Linked DNA regions of Schizosaccharomyces pombe. The protein of the gene in region 2 purifies or fractionates together with the protein of the main gene of each other region. This does not show direct contact. Each region holds a gene or a part of one and is shown on either strand. Other genes may lie near its edges. The genes, in order: sol1, rbm10, ccq1 and lsd2.

The links.
Region 1: the proteins of rbm10 (region 2) and sol1 purify together in Schizosaccharomyces pombe (affinity purification with mass spectrometry, with the first as the bait; one study listed by BioGRID). This does not show direct contact.
Region 3: the proteins of rbm10 (region 2) and ccq1 purify together in Schizosaccharomyces pombe (affinity purification with mass spectrometry, with the first as the bait; one study listed by BioGRID). This does not show direct contact.
Region 4: the proteins of rbm10 (region 2) and lsd2 purify together in Schizosaccharomyces pombe (affinity purification with mass spectrometry, with the first as the bait; one study listed by BioGRID). This does not show direct contact.

Annotation. Positions count from the first base shown.
Region 1 is NC_003423.3:1,306,453-1,314,706, forward strand, and holds sol1 (SWI/SNF complex subunit Sol1), read right to left. Parts: upstream 5,351-8,254; 5' UTR 5,273-5,350; coding exon 2,675-5,272; 3' UTR 2,620-2,674; downstream 1-2,619. Other genes in the region: karyopherin/importin beta family nuclear export signal receptor Kap109, read left to right, coding at 6,779-6,836, 6,886-8,254.
Region 2 is NC_003424.3:1,512,123-1,516,279, forward strand, and holds rbm10 (RNA-binding protein), read right to left. Parts: upstream 2,613-4,157; 5' UTR 2,507-2,612; coding exon 2,249-2,506; intron 2,195-2,248; coding exon 1,964-2,194; intron 1,893-1,963; coding exon 1,287-1,892; intron 1,245-1,286; coding exon 642-1,244; 3' UTR 561-641; downstream 1-560. Other genes in the region: rps2202 (40S ribosomal protein uS8), read right to left, coding at 1-67; ssz1 (putative heat shock protein Pdr13), read right to left, coding at 2,967-4,157.
Region 3 is NC_003421.2:1,482,488-1,489,178, forward strand, and holds ccq1 (shelterin complex HEAT repeat subunit Ccq1), read left to right. Parts: upstream 1-3,652; 5' UTR 3,653-3,815; coding exon 3,816-6,023; 3' UTR 6,024-6,191; downstream 6,192-6,691. Other genes in the region: signal recognition particle subunit Srp54, read right to left, coding at 601-2,091, 2,572-2,649; ubiquitin hydrolase Ubp5, read right to left, coding at 6,447-6,691. UniProt on the Schizosaccharomyces pombe protein: Component of the meiotic bouquet that facilitates meiotic nuclear reorganization of the telomeres to the centrosome. Links telomeres to the meiotic centrosome component pcp1. Essential for the formation of normal telomere clusters during meiotic prophase.
Region 4 is NC_003424.3:443,051-452,847, reverse strand, and holds lsd2 (putative histone demethylase SWIRM2), read right to left. Parts: upstream 6,079-9,797; coding exon 3,607-6,078; intron 3,554-3,606; coding exon 2,318-3,553; 3' UTR 2,122-2,317; downstream 1-2,121. Other genes in the region: meiosis specific arrestin family membrane adaptor Ste7, read left to right, coding at 1-1,638; Fe-sensing transcription factor Fep1, read right to left, coding at 7,585-9,279. UniProt on the Schizosaccharomyces pombe protein: Catalytic component of the SWM histone demethylase complex that specifically demethylates H3K9me2, a specific tag for epigenetic transcriptional activation, thereby acting as a corepressor.

The DNA.
Region 1 (8,254 bases), on a different chromosome or scaffold from region 2:
GCAAAGTAAGAGTCAGCAGATTAATAAATAGAAAATAATATTTAAAAAGATTTAGGAATGTCTTGGTTTGATTATTTTAATATGTTGTAAGGTTCCTTTCCGAATGTATACAAGCAATCGTAGTTTACAGATCACAAAATCGGTAATTTATTTTCAGTGTCTCTATACATTATTACTTATTTGATGATTAGTTCTTGAATTTGAAGATCATCAAAATCATTGCCCTTACTAAATATTGTTGAAATAAAAATTTTGCATCGGTATTAAGTTTTGTGTTTGTATACCTCGAAATCAACCAAAAAAAATTTTTTAAATGGTGTCGCATAGTGTAATGTTTATAAATTAAGTAAAAAAGGCTTGATTTCAGGAAAGATTTGATATAGTTGATGTATCTCGAATTACTTTATTTTGAAAAAAAGCAATGAATGCGATATTGCAAGAGAAATCATTCATCAAAATTTTTTCGTTATACAGAACAACAGCACAGTTAGTATTTCTTGATAATACTGATTACAATTAATATGGTTTTTTTTAGAACTAAAATTGATTACTAATTCATTCTTTGGTCTAATTTCTATATCGTTTTTCGAAAATTACTACTCCATTAATGTTTCTCTAGCTGTTTTATTTACTTACTTTAAATATTTCTCACTATAGCACGTGAGTGTAACGAGGTAACAAAATTGACTATATGAAACGAGAGTTAGTTTCAAAGAAAAGGAAAAGCAGGTAATTCTTTTACGGTCATTTATCATTGATTTTTTAGGTATAAAAAAATTTTGTGTCGAAGAGTTGTGAAATTTTTAATAGATTACTCAACACATGATTTTCTAGATGAGAACTGTAAAGTGTGTTCTTGGTTGTGAAAAGAAAACATATAACGATGAATAAAGAAAAATAAAAATCTCGCTGTCCTATTTAATGTACTTCCATTTTTCGCGTTTTAATATGTTATAAACACATATCGAATTTAAAAGTGTTGTAGAGTTGTTTTGTTATAGTTTGTTACATTACTCCAACTTGCTACTTTCTAAAACGTTCTGTCCATATACCGTACTGCAAACCTCACCACCGTAATGCGCAAAAGTGCATATTTGGACACAAGCGATGTCAACGGTTGCTACACACTTCTTCCCCAACCACTCACATCCTTCCAGAAATTTGAGGATGAAGCAGGGTTAGGGTTTTAAAAGGTATATATACCGATCAGACGCCTTCATAAGCCAACGTTCTACTTCCATGAGTCTGAAGGAGCCACATCAAATTAATATGCTAGGACGCCAAAGTAGTGGAGACAAGAGGTTTATTGATTGATTATCTGATGTTGAAAGGCTTAGGTTCTTATCGTAAATGGCTTGTATTTTGTGTGTTACATTTATTGATATTAGGATGGTTCTCCTTCAGGCTCTTGGAAAGCGTTCGCCTGTATCTGTGTTGTATTTTTTGGAGAGATTCTAGTCTGATTCTAGTCGTTTGATTGTACAGTATGTCTGTCGTGTATGGTTGCTTTATTGTTTTTCTGGGATTAAGTCATCTTGGTGCAGTAATTGGTACTGTGTTGGTAGAAAAACCTACCATATTCCTTTTTGCGCTTGCTGTGGTATCTTTTTGACTATAGTTTGAGATTAACTGGGTGTTAAAGCTTAGTAGGGGGTAAATCCCGTACGCATACTGAAACCTTGAACTCAAACTGAATCTTTGTCGTTCTTTAAGTGCCTTGTTAAACTTGTTTGTAAAGGTATGTTCGCCGTATGCTGATTGATGTCTGAGTACAACGAAGCTGTTCTGATGATATTATTATGTCTTCTTTACCCGTCCTATCGACTATGACGATAACTTTGTCTCCACTATAGGTGGAGACCATACTTGCCAGTATCTTCGATGTCTGAATTGTTTTCGTTGTTCCAGTATCTTAGTAATCTCTGTATTGTGTATAATCTTTCAGTGTACTAACTTCTTTTTTAGGTGTATTTGTGCGAAACTTTCAAATTTCTTGCTATGCTTAAACTCGCGAACTAAACGTGTATGTTCTGTATGGTGAAAATAATGTGTGTTTTTCGTGTAGCTACTCCTGTACGTACGAGTTATGGTGGAGATTGGACTTTACATCCTTTTAGTTATAAACATATATAGTGCTGTATTGCTTTTTGGATTGTTCGGCGAAGGTTTTTTTTTGCATTGATCAACAGGTGATGAAATTTCCATTGAACATTCGCAGTTTCCCCGGAGCGGCATACGAACCCAATTTTGCCGCAGATGTCGTGCATAGTCCTTCCTTTGGATGTCTGATGTTGATCTTGCAAATTTTTCCTTTTTTTTTTTTTAATTAAATTTTTTTGTGTTGTGTTTGGCTTGTAGTTGTAGTGGTGATAAAGGTTGATTATCATGTTCTCCAATATAGAGTAGTTAAACTTTTTCTTGTTGTGATGGAAATTGTAGTCTGGTTGATTTATTGAATTCAGTCTATTTAGAATTGCTTGAAAATACTCTTAATAAAATTGTTGCAATGCGTAGAATGGCAATTAACTCTACATAGGTTAAGTAGTCTTTCTATAAAGTAAATAAATCATCTCTAAAAATTTGAAAGCATGTTTAGACAATATACATACAGAAACGCATCAGATTAACTAGAATGAAGACAAAAATATTAAACGTTTGGAAAATTATCTACAAATTAAATGCCAGATTTATCATCCGTATTTTCTAAAGACGCATCACTGTCCCCAGTTCGATCCAATAAATTTGAGATCTCTTTTAGAAACGAGGTTTCTGTTGTAGGAGCCAGCAAAACAGCGAGGAGAGTTTCACTTTTGGGGAAAGAAGATAATGAAATATTTCCAGCTTCCACTAAGCTCAAAAGTCGACGCACCGTAGATATGCCACTCTGAATCACATAACGAAAAGGATTCGTAGTAGGATACTGCGATGCTACACGTGATGGTGGATTAAGGGAAGGATGACCTGATAATAGTATGAGTAGGCGTAACATGGAAACAAAAAATCCCTCGCCTATATTACACCAATTTGCCGCTTGTTCCGATTGTTTAACATAGGAAACGGTAGCTGCTAAACAAAAAAATGACTGCTGCAATAAGGGTAACCTTCGCTCGCATATTTTAAGGCAGTGGCGGTTAAATTTTGGGACAACAGAAGCAAGAAGTAGAAAAAGGGAGTCTAAAAATTTTGGATTGTTATCAAAAATAGCTTGAAAGTTTGTCTTGTTGTTAGCATCTTTGGCTAGTAATTTGGCATAGGCATTAATGGCGGGACCAGCATAGGGATGGGTAGCAGGTGTGTAACTAGGTATAGAGGTTGGAAGGGTGTCATTTAAAATAGTTTTACTCTTCTTTCTGTTAAATGGAGAAAAAGACAAAATAAATAGTAAAACGTGACGAGCAACGTCGACATTCGGTAGAATGAAATTTTGAGAAAGTTGACAAAGTACGATTAATACATCTTTATGCAAATCCAAGGTATTTCTTGATGAACGTAGAAGGGAAGTGGCATGAAAATTAAGACTTTTGACTACACGAATGAGTAGAGGAAAAAAATCTGGATTTTGTACCAAAACGTTTTGGTTGGCCTCAAAGTGAGAGAGATTTCTAAAAATAACGAAAACAGCTAACAAATTTTGCTCCGAATTATGAACATCAATAGCATTGATGCTATCTTTTGTTTTGTTTTCGCTTAGTGAATTTGAAAAGTCTTCTCTGGAGAACTGCGATATCTCTACGCAACAATTGTAAAGAAGTTGTCTATAAGAAGGACGTTTATCGGCGATTTCCATTAAATCCTCATTAGGAAGAACAGATAGCAGATTATCAAGGCACTGAGTTGCAACGTCAATCAACGCATCAACTACATCCTGGCACTCACTTAACGGAAACATCCATTTTTGATCATTTGTTAATATAAGTAAAACGTTCATTGCATACGTTATTTCTTTTTCCAAAGTAGATTGCAGGCTCATGCACAAGGCTTGAATGTTTACAGTCCCCAGATCTACGATTGAAGGCATCTGAAGCCGAAGCAAAGATTCATCGAGCCTATACGTGGCCGCGACATTCAAGGGATAACCCAACATAGGATCGATGGGCTTTTTTATCGGTTGATAAGCAACGGGTTCGGCAGAATCAACAGGAGCTGCCGAAGAAGAAGTTTGAACGGTGGGCGGAGTGGGTCGAGTCGGAGCAGAAGGGTATGGTGGAGCATTTCTTTCAGAACTAACTGTGGTAGGAGCAGCTGGAGAGAAACGATTAGCGGTGAATGCTGGGGAGGGTGACTTTGAGTGAAGTGATCCATGCATAGAACCATTGGCATGTACAGCTTCTGGGGTGGTTTGGACCGGCTTTTGTGGATAGTTTTTTGGTCTGCTTTGAACATTCGCAGAATGATTAGCTTTTGCTTGTTGAAGTGATTTTTGTTGCTGTTGAGCAGCAAGCCATGCTTCTTCATATGGAAGCAGATAGGAATTGTAATATTGAATTAGAAGGGAAATAGCATCAGGAGATGGAAACCCCAAGGAAGCAGAAATTTTTGGCCAAAAATTATGAGCTGAGACTTGTCGAGATCCACCGGCACGCATAACCAAGGCGTACAGCATCATTAAATTAATAGGCGTATTATTTATTTGAGGATAAGATTTGATTGGCGTCCCCCGCTTTTCCATAAAAGAAATAAGGCTAACCATGAATTTGTCAAAACTAGCAGCATAAGCAGGCGTTAGTTGATTAGCATTACCAGAGGGAGTATTTGGGGAAGGTGCAGGTTGAGGAGTTTGTCTTACAGCTGGGTGGGCATTGATGCCAATTTGATTAGGAGGAATTTGTTGAGAGAGTAAGGCCTCTCTGCTTTGCATTTGTCGTTGATAAAGTTGTTGCTGCTGTTGCTGTTGTTGTTGCTGCTGCATTGCAGCCTCTTTTTCTTGTTGAAACGGGATCCGACTTGAAGGCATCATGGGACTAGAGTATTTCACAGATCCAGAGCCATTCCATGCACCGTTAGAGGCGAAATCAAATGATTGATTTGGCAAATTACGTTGAGTTGATGGAGATTGTCGGAAGGGCTGTGAATGAGCCAAATTGTTAGGCTCATTCTCGGAAGTATTCATCATGTTTGCATTTCCATATTCTGCTGCATACATCCCTTGGCTTGTCGAAAAGCGTTGAGGATACGCAGGTTGTTCTTCCTGAGTATTATAACTTTGACCTTGCGTGGGATATGATACTGCGGTTGGATAATCACTCGCAGGAACAAACCCTTGATTATTCATGATTCCTCATACTAAATCAAACAAAGAGTAAAGGGACCTTAAAATACACGTTTCAATATATTAACGTCTAAGGCGCTTGGCAGCTGAAAGTGCTTGAAAAGCAGACGAAGTGCATATAACGAGTTGTTTAGTGCTGCCTTTAAGAACCTAATCTGTGTGTTTCAGAAAATGCTTAAATTCCTAAAAAATCTTTACACTCATTCCTTTAAATCTCGCAAACGTGATTTCTTGCCTTTGCAGTGTCTCTTATTTCCAAGTCAATGACAATTGTTAGCATTGGGAAGCATTTATCGATTAGTCAGGTATCTAAAATTTTAAAAACAAAATAATATCTTATTCCTCTTGTAATAGAAACAATATTTATTAACTTGCTCTGTTAGTAGACTTGGCGAAACTGTAAACAATCACGAGTACAACATCTTCTTCTTGCGGAAACAGATATTTTTTTAATAAATTATTTTTTTTTTTTTTAAAATAGTAAAAGCATATGAGTTAACATATTCGAGATCCCGTTATCCTCCTTTTCTTTCTTTTTTTTTTTTTTTTTTTTTTGAAAGGAGCAATCAAAATTGACACATTAATTCAAATTTATCTGGTCTAACCTTTTTTTTATTTTTTATTCATTATTTTTCCTTCTTTCTTTCTGGCTACATAAGACTCGACGCAATGTCATTTTATAAATTTCATTGTTTTCTATAAACGTGCTTTCATATGTGTAAACCTATTGATGAATGAAACAAGATAGTAGAATATGGTAATTTCTATTATCAAGCAATTGGATTTAGGTTGTTGAACTCTATGGACAAGGGCTTGTACGTGTAAAATATATATGTTTATGACTTAATTATTTACTTTTGCAAATCTATGGTTTCAAGTCAACTCGCAAAAGGAATATCCGATTCAAGAAGGAAAAAAACTAAATACTACAATAAAAAAAGGTTTGTAGTATTTGAGATAAAGATGGAGATGCTATATTGCACATGTAGAATTTGATGGCATAAACAAGAATTAGATTTGAAACAAAAGTCAACTAACACAACTTTCAAGTCCACGTATAAAGCGATTTCTATTCTGACGGTTCATAAAATGTTTAATGAGCTTGCAAACTAAAACCAAGTAATTCGGAAATTAGGTATTTACAAGCTGATAATTAAAATGTGAACCCTTGAATTATTGATAATGAATTATAGATTTTATTAGTTTTAATTCCTTTTTTAAGTAATTTATCAAGTATAGTCCAACTATTTATTTACAAATATTGGTATATTAGGGTGTTTTAATAGAAAAAAAAACAAAAATTAAGCGAAGAAAAGTATTACATTAACAAGCCTGAAAAAGAAGCAAACAAACTAATTAAAAGATGTTAACTATATCAAACTTAAGAGAAAATTATTTAATAAATAAAACCGGAATTAAAAATTCTCTATAACGATGTTAGAGAAATTGTTCTAGTTACGTCGGTGTCCTTCAAAATCTGCCCTTAACCACAATCCCTGTAGGAAAACTATGGATGACATTCCAACTCTTCTTGCGAGAACATTAAACCCTACGACTTCCAAAAGTGGTAAGATACCCCAACAGAGTGGATAAAGCAAATTTACTAACTGATATAGCTGAGGAAGCACTGAAAGTATGGGAATTACAAGATAGTTCTTTTGCACTAAAACTCCTCAATATTGTCGCTGAGGATACAGTAGACATCAATATTAAGCTGGCCGCTTCATTGTATTTCAAAAATTACATTAAAAAACATTGGGATTCTGAGGAAGGTGCTTCTATTCGTATCAGCGATGAGGTGGCAGAATTGATCAAACGCGAAATAATCAACTTGATGCTGAAAAGTACTACCATTATTCAAGTTCAGCTAGGTGAAGTAATTGGTTATATTGCCAACTTTGATTTCCCTGATCGGTGGGACACTCTTCTCCCCGATCTGATATCTAAATTGTCTGCTGTTGACATGAACACGAATATTGCTGTACTTTCTACTGCACATGCGATTTTTAAGCGCTGGAGACCTTTATTCCGTAGCGATGCACTTTTTTTGGAGATCAAATATGTGTTGGATCGTTTTTGCGAACCATTTCTCGCTCTCTTCGTGCAAACCAACAACTTATTGCGTAACGGTCCACAAGATGCAGAGTCTCTTAACAGTTTATTTCAGGTTATCCTTTTGGAGTGTAAACTTTTTTATGATTTGAATTGCCAAGACATTCCGGAATTCTTTGAAGATCATATGAGCGAATTCATGACCGCCTTCTTAAACTACTTTACCTACACTAACCCCAGCTTGGAGGGTGACGAAGGAGAGACAAATGTCCTTATTAAAGTTAAAGCAAGTATTTGTGAAATCGTCGAGCTATATACCCTTCGATACGAAGAGGTGTTTACCATGTTGTATGACTTCGTCAACGTAACATGGACACTTTTGACAACCTTGACTCCTGATGAAAAATACGATGGTTTAGTTGGTAAGGCTATGGCATTTTTGACATCCGTCATTAGAATTCGCAAGCATGCCGAGTTTTTCCAGCAAGACCAAGTTTTACAACAATTCATTGAACTCGTCGTTCTTCCTAATATATGTTTGCGGGAATCTGATGAAGAATTATTTGAAGACGATCCTTTAGAATATGTCCGCCGTGATCTTGAAGGTTCGAACAGTGATTCTCGCGCCAGATCCGCAATCGTTCTTGTTCGTGGACTTTTGGATCACTTTGATCAAAAAATTACGAGTGTAGTCTCAACTCACATCAATGCTAATCTTCAACAATTCTCAACAAATCCTTCTCTTGAATGGAATAAAAAATACGTAGCGCTTCAGCTCTTTTCGGCTATTGCTATAAAGGGTCAATCCACAAGACTCGGCGTTACATCTATTAATTTGATGGTAGACGTTGTTGCTTTTTTCGAGAATAATATTAAGCCGGATCTTTTACAACCTGCTGGCGTCATTCATCCCATGGTTCTTGCCGAGGATAT
Region 2 (4,157 bases):
GACGTCCACGGCGCTCGGCGTTGACGATATTGTTTAAACAATCAGCGAGAACAGATTGACGAACCATTTTGTGTTTCTGACGAGAAGCGCGTTAGTTTTCTTGAGTGTCTTGTTTAAAGATTTCAAGAAAAAAAGGTTCCACCCATTGGGTTCAAGTATTCACTGAAGAATAAATGTACCAATAGACTTCCGCTCACATCTTGTAATATTTAATATTTCATACCTGTTTTGGACTACTTTTACTTTATAAACTGTAGGTGGTAAAAACAGTTTGCAATTTCGCGAAATGCTTGTTTTGTATCTACAGGAGCAGTCACATAAAAACCCTACCCTATTTAACTCAGTACTGATTTGATTGACTTTGGGTAGTTTCAAAATAATAGAAACTTTAGAAATGTAACCTGAAGGGCATATACGGTTAAAAATAAAGTGTTTCTCTTAAACTGTACGGAATTCCAATGTTTTAATATACCAAGGGGAAATTACTTTATATAGAATATTAGACGTTTAGTATTGAATTGCCATACTTTACAAAATTTGTATTTCCTCAAACACAATAAGCATAAGTAGGAGACATAAAATCATGGTATTAAATTACTGTAATATTAAGAGATTTTCGACGCAAATAAAAAAATTCCCTATTATAAATTATTGTTTTTATCATTTTGAAAATACAAAGACCTTGCTCGGTCTTTCACTCTGTCAACCGGAGTCATGTTGATCTGTATTTTACTCCCCTTGTTGCCAAGTCCAACACCGGGCAAATACATCGTCGGTTGAATAGCTTCCTTGATCCCATTTTCGTTAGTACCAAGACCACTTCCTTTGTTCCATCCCATAGAATTAAGCATTTTCATGCTAACATTAGAGGTGGAGTGAAAGCTTGAGCCCTGAGATGACTTTTTAGCCTCAACTATTGTATCACTAGAAGCAGCAGGTACTATTCGACGTTCAGTAGCGCGATCTCTGTAATCAACAGACTCAGTTTGACGAACTCGGTGCATCAAAAGCTCTGCAGAAGAGACAAGTTCGTGGTTTTTCAGATTATTGTTGTGCATAATAGACTGAGTAATATGTTTTACTACATGGCCCCAACTCTGAAACTTTCGCTCACACAAAACGCATATTAAAGCCGATTTCCACACAAAGTGTAAAAGCAACTTTTCTTCTTCTTCAGAGAGATCAGGGATATTGTCTTTTAATTCCTTCTGCGCATCATTCCATCTTTGCAATGAAGTGGCAACCTATACATATCAGCAGGTTTATGCTAACATTAAGACACATACCTTCTTAGAAGCAGGTACATCTATGTAATTGGATGATCGTGCACGCTTTTCTTTTTTTGGTTTCTTATTTACTTCAATTGGTTTAAACTGATCTGTATCAATGCCTTCAGGAACATAGATCGAGCAATATAGTTCTGGGTCCCAATAAACGAGATAACCAGTTTTTGTAGGAAATTGCCATCTTGCAGATTCCGTATATGCAGGAATTAAAACTCCATCATGAATGTAATCAACAGACACTTTCCTAGAAGCTAACGTGAAGCCCTTTCCCGGGTACGTGCGGGCTTTCATAAGTGCTTTCGCTGACTCATCTACATCTTTAAATTCTAGTATGGCATAACCACAAAACGCATCATTAAACTTATATCGAATCATGAAAACCCTTTGGACGTCAATTTCTAATTTGGAAAGTCCCTTCCATAACGTTTCTTCAGAAAGTGAACGGTCAAGGTTTCGTAATATAAGGTATACTGAGGGTACATCACTTACATCCATGTCGCCATTCCGTTTACTGATTTTATGATTTCCAATAGCAATCGAAGCCTGATTCCTTGGCACACGACATTTGAAGCAAGACTCTCTATATGAATAATTTAGAATATCACACTACTCCAACAGTTAGTAAGTAAAAAAAAATTATATGTGAAAAAACAATATTAATTGTTAAAATTGTTTACATTTTGGCAACACCAACCCTCAATCTGCTCTCTGGCCGCACGTGAAAAACGTACAGACACATCAATACCGTCGATGACCAGCGTTGGAAAATTGGCTTCCATCCAATCCTTAGAATCCTGTAAGGAAACAAATTTAGCGAAGGCAAAACAGCGAGATTTTTGTGTTTCTTTCTCTCTTATTAGTGTAACAGTAGAAACTTTAGCACCCGTGGCGTACAACGCAAGTTCAATCTTCACGCATTTTTGTTAGTATTTCCTTCAATAAAAATTAAGTCTGAATCACACATGTTCTTCTAATATTTCCGGAGTCAACCCTTGAAGAATGATTTCTTGATTAGGAACACCGATGTGTCTAGAAAGGGGTGAGTTCCTGTCCCTTCCATAATTTCCTTTCGGACGATATGAATCGAGTAAACGAGGGTTGTCACTACTAATATTTACATCGTAATCTCTAGATGCACAATTGTCCGATATATTACTGCTGGTCGAACCTTTCTCTTCAAAAATTTCTTCAAAACCATTTTCTGAATAATAATCCTTCATCATGTCCACAACGAGTTTTAATTATTTAAAATGGTCTGTCTTATAACTAAACGAAAACTATTCCAACCATCTCAAACATAATTTGTTTGTATTAGGTGAATGTGTCGTCGTATACTTATAAAATTATCACCACCAACATTTCCTTGCAGCAACATCATATCATTCTCTCAATATAAATCACGAAGTGGAAGTTGAATAAAATTATTGAAGTATAGTACATGAAATTTACTTTCAGTAAGTCAATTTAAACTGTCAGTTTTTGAAAAATATTGCTACGTCACATGAATGAAAAAATCAAACATTTTATATGCATAAATGGCCGTGTAATTTAATTTTAATTTAATACAGTCTACCAGCTATTCTAGCTTTCCTTTCCTAAACCCTCTTCTCAACAGATCAGACATAGAAAAAAAACTATGACATAGATAAATTTTTATGATTTTTTATAGCCAAGCCAAAATTATGCAGTAGATCCACGAACGTTAGTTCCCTTGCCATCCTTAGGACGTGCACTTGCCGTTAATTTCCCTTCAGCATCTATTTGAAGAACCAGCTCGATCTTGGCATTAGGAGAAACATCAGGAAGAGTAATGGTGGCAATCAAAGTCTTGGGTATAGCGATACGCTCTTTAATCTCCTCTGGCTCCTCTTCTTCATCATCAGAAAATGCCTCTTCCTCATCAATAGGCTCCGGTTCAACTTTGGTAACCTTTACTGAACGCTCAGCTTCATAAATTGGAATAAAGGCAGCACCCTCTTTAGGAGCAATCACCTCAACAGTCTTTCGAGCAGGCAAAGCAGTCTCGATGTCGAAAATAGTAACAAAGTTCTCACCTTCGTTGATACCGATAGGAGCAGTAAGGTGAGGAACATCAACCACTTGTGCATCAGTAGAAGCAGCAATGTCAGCAGCATCAAAGTGCCCAATCAAAGAAGCTTGAACACCGGAACCGATCGCGGTAAGTTCAGAAGGGTCTAATTGCAAAGGAGTAACTGAACTAGAGGAACGGATGATAGTTTGTTCAGGGAAAATGGATTCCATCAAGGAAGTTAATTTGGGAGTATTGGAGGCACCACCAGCTAAAATAACCTCAGAAATATCAAAAGGCTCCATGTTTGCCTTTTCAACAGCTTCGGTTACAAGATCGGCCATGCGATTTAAAGTGGCGCTTGCTGCAAGGTCATAACGAAGGCGGTTAATGCTACTATGGAAGTCGATGCCGTCGGCCAAAGAGTCTACAGCAGCAGAAGCGGTAGTACCATTGCTAAGTACACGCTTAGTGATCTCACATTGAGCACGGAGCTTAGCAAGGGAACGGGCATTTTTGCGAGGATCAATTCCATTCTTCTTTTCAAACTCCTTGGCAAAGAAATTAACCAACACATCAGTTAATTGCTCACCTCCCAAATTCTCATCATGAACTGAAGCCAAAATGGTCATTAGACCACCCTTAACAGATACAACAGAGACCTCAGAGCGAGTGGCACCAAAGTTAGCGACCACAACAGTTTTGTCGATCAGAACCTCTTCGGAATACATTAAGGCCAAAATAACAGCAGCCGGGTCATGAATCAACTGCAAAACTGGAAGTCCAGCTTCATTGGCAGCAGATTCCAGAGCCTTACGTTGAGCGTCAGTAAAATAGACAGG
Region 3 (6,691 bases), on a different chromosome or scaffold from region 2:
TCATGCTTCTATAGAATCTTCCACTTAAGTTCATCTCTGCATTCTGTTCAAATATAGCTTCCAGTTGCCGTTAGTTCTAATTTATGCTTTCTACGTACAAGCCTTTTGGCCTATTTTTAGGTATCCTTCATTGTTCAAACTAGTAATTAGATTAATAAAGCACAAATTTGAAACTTTCAAGAAGCTTTTTCATGTGATTGCATAGAATGAGAAAACCCAAAACTTAATCCTAATCGGCTAAAAAACTATGTTCTCAATACACTACCATTATTAATATACAATAAATCCAATTCTCATTTTACGAAGCAAGAGCAATTAACATAAGCTAACCGAGCTCTTAAGAAATCTGCAAATAATTGTCGAGAGCAATCATACAAGGATGCTTCACGTTTACGGTTTAGCAAACTTTGCTAGCTCTTCAGTAGAAATAGAAACAAATTTTACACAATTATAAAAGCAAACGTTAAGTAATTAGGGAAAGAAAAAGGAAAACGAGAAGGACGATGAATTTTTAATGCATATATTTTTATAAAACAGTAAATAAGGTATTAGAGTAAAATATGCCATATGTGAGTACATTATAATAACGAGGGAAGTAAACTAACGTCTTCGAGGAGGCTTTTGCATATTTTGAAATTGATTGAGCATACCGCTGAAATCCATACCACCTGCCCCTCCGGGACCTCCGCCTCCCATCAACATGTTAGCCATTTTTGAAATATCACCAAAGTTCATAGAACCTGGATTGAGGCCAGGCATTCCTCCCCCCATACCCATGGCTTGCATTCTTTTCTGCATAGCTGCAAGTTGACGAGGGTCTTTTTTGAGAGCTGCGGCTGGATTTCCACCAAGTTTACCCAAAATTCCATCTTTTCCTCCTATCTTTTTCGCCATTTGCGCAAATACTCGGACCTGAGAAATGGTTTCTTCTACCTCTAAAACGCTTGTACCACTACCCCTTGCAACACGTAAAACACGAGAGGGTTGTTCAACAAATAGAAGACCATCCGAATCTAACTCTTGTTCGGTCATTGAATCAACGATGTAGAGCATACGCTTCATACGCAAAGATCCCTCCTCATCATTCATACCGTTCATCATATTACTCATGCCTGGAATCATACTAGCCATTTTACTAAGTGGTCCCAATTTCATAATATTTCCGAGTTGATCTCGAAAGTCTCGGACCGTAAACTTTCCTTGCTCAAGATTTTTAACCATATTCTTTTTATCAAAATCTAAAGACTGAACGTGTTCCATCAGACCTTCAAGATCACCGAGTCCGAGTAGCTTTGAGATAAAAGAACGTGGAGAAAAGCGCTCCAAATCATTAATATGTTCACCGGTACCAATGAACACGATGGGTGTCTTAGTCGCAGCCACGGCGGATAAAGCACCACCACCTTTGGCATGTCCGTCCAATTTTGTGATTATTACAGCGCCAAAGTCAGCAGTCTCTTTAAACGCTTTGCTTTGAGATTCGGCAGCTTGACCAATGCTAGCATCTAAAATCATAATTGTTTGATCTGGGCGAATAGCGTCTGAAATTTCCACCATCTCAGCAAACAACTCCTGCTCCTGCTGATGCCTACCAGATGTATCAACGATGATAACGTCAAATCTATCGTTTTTGAACTTATCAACACCTTCCTTGGCAATAACGACTGGGTCAGTCTCGGTGTAACTACCAAAGTAAGGAACACGTGCTTTGATAGCATTCTGCTTTAATTGATCAAAAGCACCAGCACGGAAAGTATCGGCAGCAACCAAACACGATTTCAAACCTCTCCTTTGGTAGTGCAGAGCAAGCTTTGAGCATGTTGTCGTTTTACCACTGCCTTGTAAACCTACCATCATGATCACTGAAGGTCTCCCTTTTTTAGGAGTAAAAGCATCAACTTTAGGGTCAACCAAACTGCAAAGTTCATCAAAGACAGCCTTCTGGACGATTCGCTTCCCATTTATACCCTGAGGCAAAGTTGATACATTGATTTTTTTCTTAATATTTGAACGTAATTCTTGAACCAATCGCACATTAACATCTGTTTCCAAAAGTGCCGTACATATATTTTTCAGCAGAGTATCGACAAGCTAAATAAAATTATTAGTAAAGGTTCGTATTAAAACGATAGATATCCTAATCAAAACAGAACATTGGGAAAACAAACTAGAGGTCATTAAAAAAATCTTCAGCTGCCTAAAAGTTGCTTGGTAAGTAAACCCTTTTAGTAACTTGAAACCAAAATCTAACATTGCATTATTAAAAAGGGTTTTAAATTTTCATGTCAAGGTAACGTCGATGTAAACGAAGATAATCCCAATATGCAATCAAGATATATATATATAAGAGATTGGATAAACCAGCTACGCAACTAGAAAAGCATATCTGTGGTAGATGATTTTTCTTATCGACAAATTTCGTAAAGCATGAAACGATGTTCATATACAGCGTGTAAAACATGGCAAATGCAAAATTTTTGAAGAAATCAAGCAAAGATGTATTAAATATTTTTATAAATGACATGGCTCACTCTCCGTATGAGAACAAATTTTCGATAGAATAAAACATACCTCTTCATTCACTGAAGTGGCCTTAGAAAAGTCCCCTAACGCAGAGTTCAAACGACGCCCTAAATCTGCAAAAACCATTTTGTCAGATTAAAAACTTCCAACCAGGCAATTTGAAGTTCGTCAAATGTGGTTGGTAGAGGATGAAGTCGTTAAGGACATGCAGTGTCTTCAAGCGAAAAGTCAATAGACAATTGAGGCAATATGATAAATGCCTAAAGATGAAGTAAAGAAGAGTTTGATATTATCTTTTTAAAAAATATTTTCACTGAGTTTAATACCGAGTTATTTCGCCTGCAAGCTTTTTATTGTTTTCAGTATAGGTGATATATCGACAGGATAGCGCAGCACAGCATTCCTATATAATACCTTGTTTGTATAATATTTTAGAATTAATCTATAGCAAAAGTTCAGTAGGTATAATCTTAAAAAATAAAATACTTATTAAGATTATACTCATGTGTAAAAGTGTTTGACTAGGTCCTGACAATTATTGATGCTTCTCTTTCTCACATTTGTAATAGAAACACGAATCGTAAATTCCGTGGTGGCTAACTTTGTCCCACAATCTTTTGATTCATACTTGCTGTAGTTTGTGTTTTAAGACGCTAATAGAAAAAGATCTAAAAGATTGATATTTGAAACTTTTTATATATTTTTCAGGCGTATGTTCTTATTCACCTTAAACTTTTTTGGAATTTTTCGTGCGTTAATCCAGCAATTAGTCTTAAGATCCAGTTTTTCCAAACTTCACGAAGGAAAGCACTTCCAAGTCCTTATAAGAGCCAGAATGAATTGCAATTAGCTGTTTTTTCAATATAAGACTAAAGATAAAGAATCGTTAACCCCTTAACACAAAATTTGAAAAAGAAATAACATTTACTACGCGTTATGGGTGAATAGTTATATTTGTTTACATAATAGACTTAAATAGAGAGGTGACGCGTTACTTTATTAAAATAAAGATTTGTTATATGAAAAAAAGTAATTAGAGCTCTTTTAAATGCTGTAAACATTTTCCGCTACACAGTGTATTTCGTAAAAATATGTACAAATTTAAAGGCGAACACGGAATTCTGGGAACAACATTTGGGTGGTTATTTGTAAAAACGATAATAAAAGACTCTTTTTAGACCATCTAATTCCTCTAAACGTGCGAAAATTATTTCTTTTCGGACGCTAAATTGGTCTCGTGTTGCAATATTTAAACATTCAATTTCTTGTTGAATTTTAACGTGGATGGCAGTATGAGCGAAATTAACGACTTTACGAATTCAATTATTATCAATGAAAGTGATACGAAATACGAGGTTTACTCTGAGGTGAATTCCAGTAATAGATGGATTGCCAAAGAGGATTGCCCTAGCCCGTTGGAAGATGTATGGCTTCTAAAATTAGCAGGCCATAAGAGAAAATTGGAAGAGCCTCTAAGTTGCATGCGTAATGAAGAACCTGCATCCAAACAAAGAGAGATAGAAAAATTTTTACGGACTGATTTGGATCACTCTGAAAATGACTTTTTAACTCAAGAGGTCGATGAATTCCCTTCTACCCAGCAGTTATTTCCTATTCCTTTGCAAAATGACACTGCCTTTGATTCTTCGGAAGAATCTATTACTAAATCTTCTAAATCCTCGTTCAGCGTGCTAGATATTGGCCTTCCAATGTCTGCGCTTCAAAGGAAAATGATGCATCGGTTGGTTCAATACTTTGCCTTTTGTATTGACCATTTTTGTACTGGTCCTAGCGATTCAAGAATCCAAGAAAAAATACGTCTTTTTATTCAATCTGCTCATAACATTGCAAAGCATCCTAGTCTGTATGATACTGAAGTTCGAAATCCCTCCGCTGCTGAATCCACTAATTCCCACGTTTCTTTAGATGCTTCTAATTTCTCTTCATATGCCGAAAATTCTTCAAAATTTCTTTTTTTGCAAGAATTATTCAAAAATCTTTCCCCCTCTTATTCTAAGACATTTTTTTTATTTATCTCCAACCAATTTCTTGCAAACACACTTACTCAATGGCTAAAATCTCAAAACATTGATGCTGAGTTATGGGCTGAAGAGGATGCAAAGACTAGCCAACATCCAGCAATTTGGATTTGTGTGTCCAAAAAGGCTCCCTCCGCTTCTCATTTTCTTCAATCTTGCCCAGATTTGAGTGCAACCATTTTTTATGATATCGAAGCATACATGAGTGTCACTAGTTCCTTGCCCTCTATTCAAAGCCTTGTCCTTAGGCTCATTCACTTGGGATCTATAGAACATGCCATAAAATGTTTTCAATCATCTTACAATGCCTCATTTTTAGTGAACATTGTGGGTGTGGTTGCCACTCTTAGTTCTTCTTCCGAGGAAAATTCAGAAGCTTCAAATTTGAGCACTTTGTTTGAGAAATCTGGGAACTTTGAGGAAATCCTAGGCTCAGAATCTCACTCTTCTATTACAGAAAAAACTCGAGATATTGCTAAAAATGTTGCGACCTGGTTAAAAAATGGAGAAAACTTCTCTTCTTGGCCACTACCTCCTCTAATGGATTTAGCAAGCTTATCGGTTGCAGAACCAAGGGATTCTCAGCCTTCTGTTTCTCAGGTGAACGATACTTTTGTCAAATCATCTGATAGTACATTTCCTTCGTCGCAAAGCATGCAATCACCTTCCAAACTCCACTCTTTAACAAGTAATGCCACCGATTTACTGTCATCAAGCTCACTAAAGAAAAACTTTTTTTCTCAACAGGAAGCTGATGAGGTAGAACTTTCCAATAATTATGATCTCCAAGGTGCAGCTGTCCAATACCTGCAGCGTCGTTTAAGAATGGTAGAAGATGAATTACACGAAGCCATTAATTCCAAAAACGTACAACAAAGTCGCTCAGAGGAGTTGGAGCAGCAAATTTCTAAGCTGACGGATAATTTACAAGAATACAGAAACACTGTTCGAGAGCTCAAGCTGGATTTGGAGAAATCGAAGAAAAAGAATGAAGACCTTTCAAAGCTAGAAGTTGAGAAGGTTGAAGAAATCGCAAACCTTAAAAAAGAGCTTACCCACTTAGCTAAGCAACAAGAATTTGGCTTTAAATATGTACAAGAATTTTCGAATGAAGATCTACAAGGCAAATTAATTGAAGCCAACGAAAAAAATTACAAACTTACTCAACTGTTAAAAACACAGAAAGAAGACGCTGATTTCATTACTAATCAATATCAAAATGCATCTACTTTTGCTGCTGAGCAAAGCAAAGAGGTTGCGAAACTTCAAGCTGAATGTAAGCGCTTACAAGCTATAAATTCTAAAGTTATGGAAGAGGTAAAAGTTTATAATGATTCAAGGGTAGAAGCATTACTCGCTAAGGTCTCTTCTCTGGAGGAGACCTTAAAAATTTTAGAGCAGAAGTCTCTTCCCAAATTTACTCCACATAATCAATCACCAAGGATTATTGATTCTAACTAAATCATTAACGATCAAGAACTTCAGTGGAATCAACTATAAAAAGTTCGTTTAGTCATACGGTTATTTGATTAAATTATGTCGTAATCAGCTTTTAATGAAACAATTTTAATTGTATTAATTTTTCAACAGTTGCAAAAATATATTGGTTTTCTTCATATATTCATCAAGAAGTTAGACATTTCGTTACATACTAGATTCAATGATCTATGTCATTAATTTTGAATTTGTTTTTGAAAGATTTTAATTGTATCAAATTCGAATATGCATCCTCAAAAGATGCAATATCAACATTGATGAAATAATTTTTTATGCTTCATATCATTTTGTTATGCTCGCAATATCGAACCTGTATAAAACTTCATGCACCTTATGCTCAACAGGTAAGGACCAAACAACCAGCAAGGATTGTAAAGCCTTTAAATACTAATTTTTCATCTGAATAGCACGGTCGAGTATATTCGGCTTCTTACTATCTTTCTTAGCACGATCCAAAGCCAATGTACCGTTTAGTTTTTCAACAACATCATATGTAATGTCTTCATCATTCAAATAGACAACTCTATTGTTATCAAAATCCACCACACAGAATTTAATAACGCTGAAAATGCTTTCTGGATACTGTGTGCGAGCTGCAAGACGTAGTTTTGTATCGATGAATTTTTCCTGGG
Region 4 (9,797 bases), 1.1 Mb from region 2:
GAAACAAATGCCGCTACCTCTCCTCGTTCCTTTCAAATTCAACTTCGCATCAAGGGTTATGCTGTTTATCATCATGGTTTCTTGTCTTCTCCTTCCCATAAACATCCAACAACTGCTTCTGCCTCCGATTCCGATGAAGCTACAGAAATTTTTACTCATTCTCAGCCTCTTCCTATACCAGCAGGTCCCTCTTCAAAGTCTCATGCCATTGACTTCAAATTTAAATTTCCTTCTAAATCCGCCTCGTCTCTTCCTTGTTCCAAGTCCAATGATTCCATGGTCAACATTTGCTACATGCTCAAAGCCACTATCAGTAAGCGTTATGCCTTTCTTGGCTCTTCTCAAAGTGCAAAGGCTGAACTCATCATGGTTCCTCCAAATTTGGCCGGTAAACCTTTGAGTGCTAATTCATCGTTCGGTTCTTCTGCTAAGACATTCCAACTTCCGGAATTTGATTCCGTTACTCCTTCTGCATCTCTCTATAAACAACCTTCCTTCAATTCCAACCCCGCTCCCATTACCACCTCTTCTGCTACTCATACTTCTCAATTTTCTACATCTTCTTCTTCTTCCGTGAATTCCGTTCATACCCCCGTTATGGTTCCTAATCCCTACTTCCAGTATAATTCATCCATGACAGCTCCATCTTCATCCTCTTCCTCAGTAGCTCCTTTCGTTCCCCGCCGTCAATTTTCTGTTTCTTCAGCCTCAGATCCACCTCAAACTCCCATTTCCATGTCACCCCCCATTCCACCTACTCCTTCTCAGTTTTCTGCTTTTATGTATCAAAATCAGCAGTCATACCTCAGTCCTCAGTCACATTATGAGAATCCTCTTTCCATATCGTCACGTCCATCGCCTTGCTGCCCTAGTACGCCTAGTAGCGCTGTAACCCTATCCAACGGTTTTGACTCGCAATCCAATGCTTATAATAATTCGGGTACCGGTCCTCCGATGCTTTATAAATTCCCTCAGCGTTCTTACACTGCCCCGAATACCTCTTTCAATTCTCAACGTCGAATGTCAAGCATTACCTCACTTCCGACTGCCTCGTTTTGTCCTGTTAAACACGGCGTTTCACCTCCATCTTTGGCAGGAAATCAACCTAGTCCTTTATCTTCTCCACTCACCAATTCTAATGTTTCTCCTTCTACCATTTGTTCACCAGACAACAACGTCACCTTTGTCAATTTAGCACCTGGTGAGAAGTTGACCTTTAAGATTGAACCAAACGACCTTATGGATGAAGAAGAGGTGGTTGAGAATTCCAATATGTACAGTATTCCTGGTAAGACTGTTGCTACAACAGTTTGTCATTCGTCATCTTCTTCCGGTGACTTTTCAGCTCTTTCATGTCATAGAAATCTATCATTTTCTGAAAGCTTGCCTACTGCTGAAGATCAAGTTCATAATAATCACTGTGCCGTATCGCCTTCCAGAAGAAGTTCATCCAATGCTCTGTATCTAGCTACTTTGCCAATGGGTTATGAACGATCTAATTCCGTATCATACTGTTCAGATTCAAGTCTTAGCTCCCCTTTGCCTGACGACAATATGCTACAAGATCCACACGCTTTGAACATGGCGTATGCTAAAGAATTCGATGTTCTTATCAATGAAGTCTTACAGTCTCTTTAATTATTTATAACAGACTTCCTGAATTACGAGTCTTTATAACAACCACTTTTTTTTTGACAATTGAGATGCCATCTCCTATTAACTTTTGGATAATGCTTTTAATTATACATGTCCAAATATGGACTGGAGTCAATAACTCGGCATTTTTATATTATTTTATTTTAATATCATATGCATCTTATGTTTTTTTTTTAACTATTTCGTTGTAGTACTTGCTTTGAGATACATAGTGTCCATGGTGTCTGCAACAAATACAACCGCATCTGTTTTGGCTTAATTTAATGATTCTTAGTTAATTTTAATTACTTTTTTTCTAATAACTTATTTTTTTATTTATTTCACAAGCGTACTAGTAATATCATTTGTTGCTTGAATATTATGTTAATGGCAAAATGGTAACATGCATTACATCCTAAAGAGTGAGAGTAGTAGCTGTGTTTACGATATCATCTTTTATCTCTTACATCTTCGGCATTAAATCAGGTTGGCTACTGGCTAACGAGAAGTGTACATGTATTTTAGATTTTCCTTAAACAATTTGCTGAAATTAGCAATTTGATAAAATGCTTCATTTAGGGCATGACGAGAATATATATGTACATAAAATTTTAAGGGTATTTGTAATGATGCGAAGTAACTAAACTTTTAAAAAACAATATGTGATTTGATTTTTTTTCTTTTAATATCGTGTTCCATTATAACCCGAATCAGAAGATCCATCGTCATGATACTCTTCGTCGCTAGCCTCTCGACTTTTGGAAATGTTGTCATCCTGAGTTTGTTTTCTTTGCTCTTCTTCTCGTTGAGCTTGCATAAACAATCTTGCTTCATCATCGGGAATAGGTTCATCTTGGCATTTGGCCGCATAATCATTTCGTATTTGCTCGGCTCTCATTTCATATTCTTTAGTTAGGCGCTGATAACGAAGAATTTTTCCAGCATAAGCTTCTCTTTGTGCTGCAATTTCATCAATCCAAGGTTTTTTACCTAAATCATCAAGCTGGCGCCAAGTTTTCCCTAGTTTGGCACGTGTTTCATTAATAGTAGCCTTCGCTGTACTATCTCCTGTTAACCTTCGCTTGTCTTCATCAGCAAGTGCACGGCATACATGCCACTGCATTTTTTGGTAAAGTAAAAAGGGATTTGCATTCGGCTTGGAAGGAGGTTCAGGTAAATAACCAAGAAGTTCAGTTACAAGCTGTTCCTGTTCTTCCTTATGCTCGTCAAGTCTTTCCTGCTTTTTCAACCTATATCTTGCCTGATAAGAAAGGTGACGCTGTGCTTCAGCATTGGGATCAAAATTATTAACTTTAGAGTTTCGCAAAAACTGATCCAATTCTTTGCGAGAGGTTTCTCCAATGATAGGTATGGTTAAGGAAATTGGAGCCAATGAATCAATAATCCCTGTACATACGGAAAGGCCAGATAAAAAGGATCTTTGTAATGTCCTACAGCCTACGCAACTGAATATATAGTCTCCAGCAATATGCAAGCGACCCAAATTATACGATAACTGACTTTGCCTAAATCTTTTTTCATATTGCTGCTTATCATTGGCAAAATTTGGATAAGAATTTAAGCCGTCATAGACACCATTTCTCGACCAGTTTGTGACCCAAGCATCTAATAAATCAGCTGAGCTGTTTGAATCATTTTGAAAATGATCTACTATTAGACTGTGTAATTCTTGAATTAAGTGGGAGGTCTCGTTAGAAGAAGAACTTGTCATTTGTGGATTGATATCCGCTACTAATATTGGGACACCAGTTTCAGGAAGCATATTCCATATTCTCAAAACAAAACAAGATTTACCATCATTCTCATCATTGTTCATTTCTTGACTTAATGATTTTGGTATAATACCAAATGATCTAATGTTCTTTCGCCAAAAAGCAGCTGCATAACGAAGAATAACCTGCTCAATGTTAACTTTATAATTGAAAAAAAAATAAATAAATAAAAACCTACCTTTTTTCCGGGTTTGAAATCTATACTTTTTATGTTTTCAGTCACGAAATTAGGAAGACCTGGTGAAAACTCTATATTTGAAGAAAAATGAGAAGGAGAGCAAGCAATTACAACTTGGTCAACCTCATAAGAAGAGTTGTCCTTACAATCAAGGGTACATTTATCATTTTCAATAGTTACCTTAGATACAAACTTCTCATAATGAATATTTAAGGGAGATGGATAAGATTGTAATGCCCATGGCAGTTGAGATAGACCTCTTCTAGCAACTTTTGGAATCAAAATATCTTTGGAGAAGTCTGTATCAACTGTGTTAAGAGGGTACAAAGTATCGTCCAATTCCGCGACCTTAAAACACCATATCAGAAATTTCTTTTGACTGTTCCCGAGTTTGGCATAAGAAGAAACTTCATCAATTAGTATTAGCATTGTTTTTTTGAAGGAAAATTCATGTGACGCATTTAATGAGAGTGATTTGGACAAATGATCAGGGAACATTTCATCTATAAACAACTGAAATTGGGATATCCAAGAAATACGAACAGATTCCTCAACGTTAATAAAAAAGCAAACAGAAACATATTCCAAAAGTTTTTCCCATAAAATGTTTAATTTTTTCACCTCAACCATGTCTAATACTTTAGTATCGGTCTCATCGTAAACTAAATCTGAGCCAGTCATCTCTGTAACTTCAATACCCAATTGTTTATTTAAAAGGTTAAGCAAAATATCGTCCATAGGCGAAAATAAAAATTGAAATCCCAAATCAATTGCTGAAGGAATATGGGACGGGTCAGTAACATCCTTGGGGTTTAAAGAAGTGGAATTACTAGAAATAGAATTCGAATTAGATGTATGATGGTTAATTTGGGTAGCCGAAGTATGAGAAACAGGCAATGCTCGAGAGTAAATACGACCTCCTGTCCTTTCTTTAGCTTCAAGTATAATAACTTTAGGAGGAAGCTCATTCTTTGACAAAAAAGATGAAGAATACTGAGAAAATAAGCCAGTAAGTTGTCTAGCACATATCAAACCAGTAAGACCAGCGCCTACTACAGCAATAGTCTTCTGCTTCGATGCAGAACTGGATGTTGTGCCAGTATTAGTTTCATTCGTAAAGGATGAATCAAAGGACAAGCATCCATAGTTTATATATCCATACCTTACAAGGAATTCATAAGCTAAAGAGGCTAATTGGAACAAACATCGATCGACACATACGCCCTGAGCTTCAACTCTGGATATGGCATGCGTAGGATTTTTAATCCAAAGCCAACAAATGCTGTTACGAATTTGGAAATAATGAAATAATACAACGGGATCGTGTAAACGATCAGAAAGCATGTGTTGTTCAAAACTTTCTAAGGCCCTCGGATCGAGATTGCATTTACGAGCTGCTTCAGCGGCATGCTCAAAAAACGACTTTAAAGAAGATGTAGGGATACTGGCTCCTGCAGATGGTATAGTATGAGATGATGATTGACTAGACCATTGTAGCAGTACTCTAGACGGCTCAATTGCAACAGAACCTTCAGGCCTAGCACCTAACTCTGAATCAAAAAGTGCAGGACTACTAATATTACCAGATGTAGCAGCTGAAGACATTAAAGGGAAAGATGAAGCAGGAGGCGATACAACTGCCGGTGCAGTAGTAGGTGGTATTGGCAAAACTGCGTTATCAACACTTTTAGATAATTCTGTTGCTGATACCAACTGTGTAGGCATAAAACTTTCATGATTGCGGAATGTAGATGGGGTAACTCCATGAGAAACTTGATCCCGATACATCGACAAAAGTTGCTGAGAAGATAAATGAGAAGCGTCTAATGGATACGGATAATTGGAAAAGGCATTTGAGTTTTGGTGTTGAATGGGGCCTGCATGAATTGCCGTTGAACCATCTCCACTGGAAGAAAGCGGGTTTTGTGATCGTGAAGGATATGTAGATGGAAATTGCTGAGAAGACGGAGAGTTTGCATCAAAAAAGTTTTCGTATGTGGATGACTTTTGTTGAGGAAAAGAGGAACCTACAGTTGGAGGTAATCCAATTGTTCTCATTCCAGACTGCTGAGCGACACCTGCATTTGAATTGCCTAAAAGATGCTGAGGAAATGGTTGATTAGCCGCTTGCGAAATTGTGTAAGGGTGAAAAGAGGAATCATATCTAGAAGGTAAAAATGCTGGATTATAGTTTCCCCATTGATTGTTCAGTGAGCTAACTGGCTGTGAATTTAAGCCGCCATCTGTACGATAAGTTGACCTTGAATACGCGTTCTGATTAACAGAATTAGGTGTGATAGACTGTAATCCACCTCCTAAAATAGCTAAAAGCGCTTGTTCACTACTCACCAATTGAGGTTGAGTTGAATTAACGTTGTTGGCGTTAGCATATGATGAAGCCCGGTCAGAATGATGCTCTGTCATTTCTGGAAAGTCATAATGACCATCTGGATCATTCTCGCTCGTGTTCATAGAGTAAAAAGATACAATCAAAGTGAACCGAGGTGGTAAAATCTCATTGAATCTCGATTTGGTGTTTACAAAGTACTTTGCGCAACATATCCTTAACGATTCGTTAAAAAAATATCGTTCTAAATATTATAGCATAATGGGATAACGACAAATATTATAAGCATTTTTATGTCAAGTCCAATCAATCATCTATCAGACTATCCAGAATTTATATTTTTCTTTTAGATAATACATGTGTCTTTAATTATTTGAATACCATGAAGAACGCCCGAGAGGCATTCAATTGCCTATTTATCTGATTCATATTGCGAGTATTATTCTACGATCGCATTTGCTCTCTTCTACAGGCTTAACACTTTGGAAATGATGAACGAAAAATGTGAAGTTCATTAATTTGTATTCATTTTCCAAATTATTGCATTAATGTGTTAGCTCTTTCATGCTAAAGACTACTACCTAAACTCGTTGATTTCAACTTGCAGAAAACAATATTACAATACACTTGAAAGTATAGTCAGCGGAGAATAGAACAAATGGAGTAAATTATTATAACAATCCAAAAATATGTTACATTGCTGTTAAGATTCAGAAAAGCTTAGGATGTTTAGAGTAGTAGTGTAGATTAACTGTTTATCAATATTATACTAAAACATCTCATTATGGTTCAAGTTCGCTATTGTTGAATTTTACAAAAAGTCTAGTCCCGCCGGGGATCGAACCCGGGACCTTCTCCGTGTGAAGGAGAAATCATACCACTAGAACACGGGACTGTTGGTTGTTAACAGAAAAACTAAATGATATATATCATAATTACATTATTATTGATTTAAATAGATTAAATAATGAATAGCGAAGTTATTTGAGCTGAAAATTAAGTGTAAGTTTTTTATATATGTGCTGTAATGAACAATTAAAATTTCAGCCTAATCATATAGTTTTAAAAGTCAAGCAATGACTTTTTGCGAATGAACTAATTAACCATGGATACTGCTTTTTACAAGCAACTCCATTTTCCGTTTTAAATAGTTGTATACAAATGTTTTTTCCCCCGAAAAATTGTAAAAATATATTAATGAATTGACAATTTCCAAATGAGTTTGCACTCGGGCAGTTTAAATATATTTAATATATTAACTATCTACATACCATATAAATCCGGTAGTATTATTTTTTCTCAATATCTGCTTTTTCGATGCGTATTAATATCATAAAAAATGCTCCACATAGGATTTCATTAAAAACATATATGTTAACTCTAAATTTAACGGTAAATCGCTAAGGACTGAATATTATTTTCCAGCTCTTAACGAATATAACACCGCAGACGGACTTGGCCAATACCAAAACTAACGCAAAACAAAAGACCAATAAGAATCATGTGAAGTATTTTACCCTAAACTCATAGTATACAATGTCATGCTTGTAAGTAATAGACAGCTAAACGGGATAATATCTAATTTGTTTACCATAAATAAATATGCCGCACGACAAACATGCCAATCAAGTTTATGTTTGAAGAGCTCCAGATGCAACAACAGCAGGGGTTGAGGATTTAATATGTTCAGAAGCCATATTTTCATTGTCAGAGGACCTCAGCCATTCATCTATTTGTTGAATGTGCTGATTTAAATTGTGCAACTCCTGAATCATTAAATCATGCTGAGAACGCAATTGCGAAAGAACATTCAAAGCATAATTGCGTTTATCTACATTTGATCCCTGAACTTCAGGAGGAAACTGCAAAGAAACCGGCGAGGTAGAGGATTGGATTAAAGGAGCTTGCTGAGATTGCGAAGGTGAAACTTCTGATTTCGGTCCATTTGACATTGATGGCTGCTTGTCGGAATTTGAGGGTGGCTCTTCGGGGTTAAGTAAGGAAGCAATTCCTTCAGCAATCCTTGGCTTTGCAGAAGTTCGAGGAGGCAAACAGACTGACTCGCCAACAGGAAGGATAGGAGGTAAATGAAACTTCATGCCTAAGGGGTTGGATTGGTTGGCAGTTGCAACGCCATTATTATCCGTGTTCGATGTTGTAGATTCCGATAATTGCTTACTAGAATCATTGCCAACTGCTACAAGCTGACCAGGGTATACTACTTGATTAGCTCGTATACCATTGGGAACATACTCATTTTGGTAAGGAGGCAATCCTTCATGCTTGTTCTCAGGAAGAGGCAATATTGATTGTTCCTGAGTAGGACCATATGAGTAATAAACTTTCCCATTATTATCAGGTTCACCAGCCGCTAACCGTGACAATGTCATCAATGGTGAAGGATTGAACGAAGAAGGCAAGAACCCGGTAAAATTGCTGTTGTATGAAGGAAATGTACTAGCCGGAGGTAATACTCCAGTATTCATTCCATGCTCAGCCAGACCTTCACCAGAATTTCCAGAAGCATGGCCATTACCATTGGGAAAAGATTTAGAAAAAGGACCATCCCTTGTAGACTGTTGCTTAACGGAAGATCCGGAATCCCCACTTGACATTCTTTTTAAGTTGTGTTGCGACTCATTCGCATTACCGTTAAAAACCAGCCTTTTTCGACGTTTAATGATTGCCTTCTTCATGGTAACGGGACGATGTACCCCATGAATTTTGTAATACAAACCACAAGCATTACAGATCGGATTACCCGACTCGTCGCGGCGCCACAAAGGAGTATTTGTGGTAGCACAGTTTTGGCAAAAAGTAACACTTGGTTCATGAGGAGGAGATGAGTCTTCATGCTGGTTATGACTAGAACGTCGTCTACTAGTGCCATTGCTAGTTTCAGTCGTGGTATCTGAAACGATTTGAGGTTTCGATTCTAGAGGTGTAGGCGAAGCTTTGGTTTCAGTGCTAGAGGGTACACTGCTAGGATTGGGAGATAGACTTTTGCGTCCGCTCTGAGACTTAGAAGCATTGAGACTTCTTATACGATTATTTAAAGCAGGACAACCAGTACATGAAGCACTGCCACCCGTACCGTTACAGAATCCATCTCCAGCACAGGTTCCGTTTTTACAAACTTGCTGTATCAGTGGAGAAATGTCTTTTAAATCTTCAGATTTGACAGGACGGGCATGCTTGCGATGTTTTTGATATAAGCCACAAGCATTGCACAAAAGGGAATTATCGGGGCCACGACGCCATAAAGAAGTAGTAGTTTTGTGGCAGTTGGAACAACTTTGGCCAAAAGGAGCAGGTTTCGCAGCCATTTTTTTGGTGATATGTAAAAAAGTTAATTACGAACGAATCAAAGTAAATGCTAGCTTTAAGTGAGTTGTACTGAACGAAATGATCCAAGCTTATTCACAATGGAAAATAAAAAAAAACAAGAAAACGATTGTATCGATATGTACAAATTGCAAAATTGATTGAACCCAGATGAGAACCGATGGATTGGATTCAAAAAATTTTGAGATTTCCGTAATGGATTGACAAGAAATTATAAATAATAAATTATTCTTCCTTGATAAAAAAAAAACAACAAAAATATGTGTAAAATATTAAAATGGAGAGAAAGGAATGCGCACGTTCCAATTATGATAAATATAAAAAGGGAATAAAGGAGTCAGAGAGAGATGCAAAAAAGCATAAATCTCCAAAAGTGAATTCAAAAATCACTATTAACAGAGAATATGTTAAAAGGTGACAGAACTTCGTGAATGATTTATTTTCCGGAATTTTAACGGAAACACAACAAGCATAGGACAAAAAAAGGAAAGAAATAGGA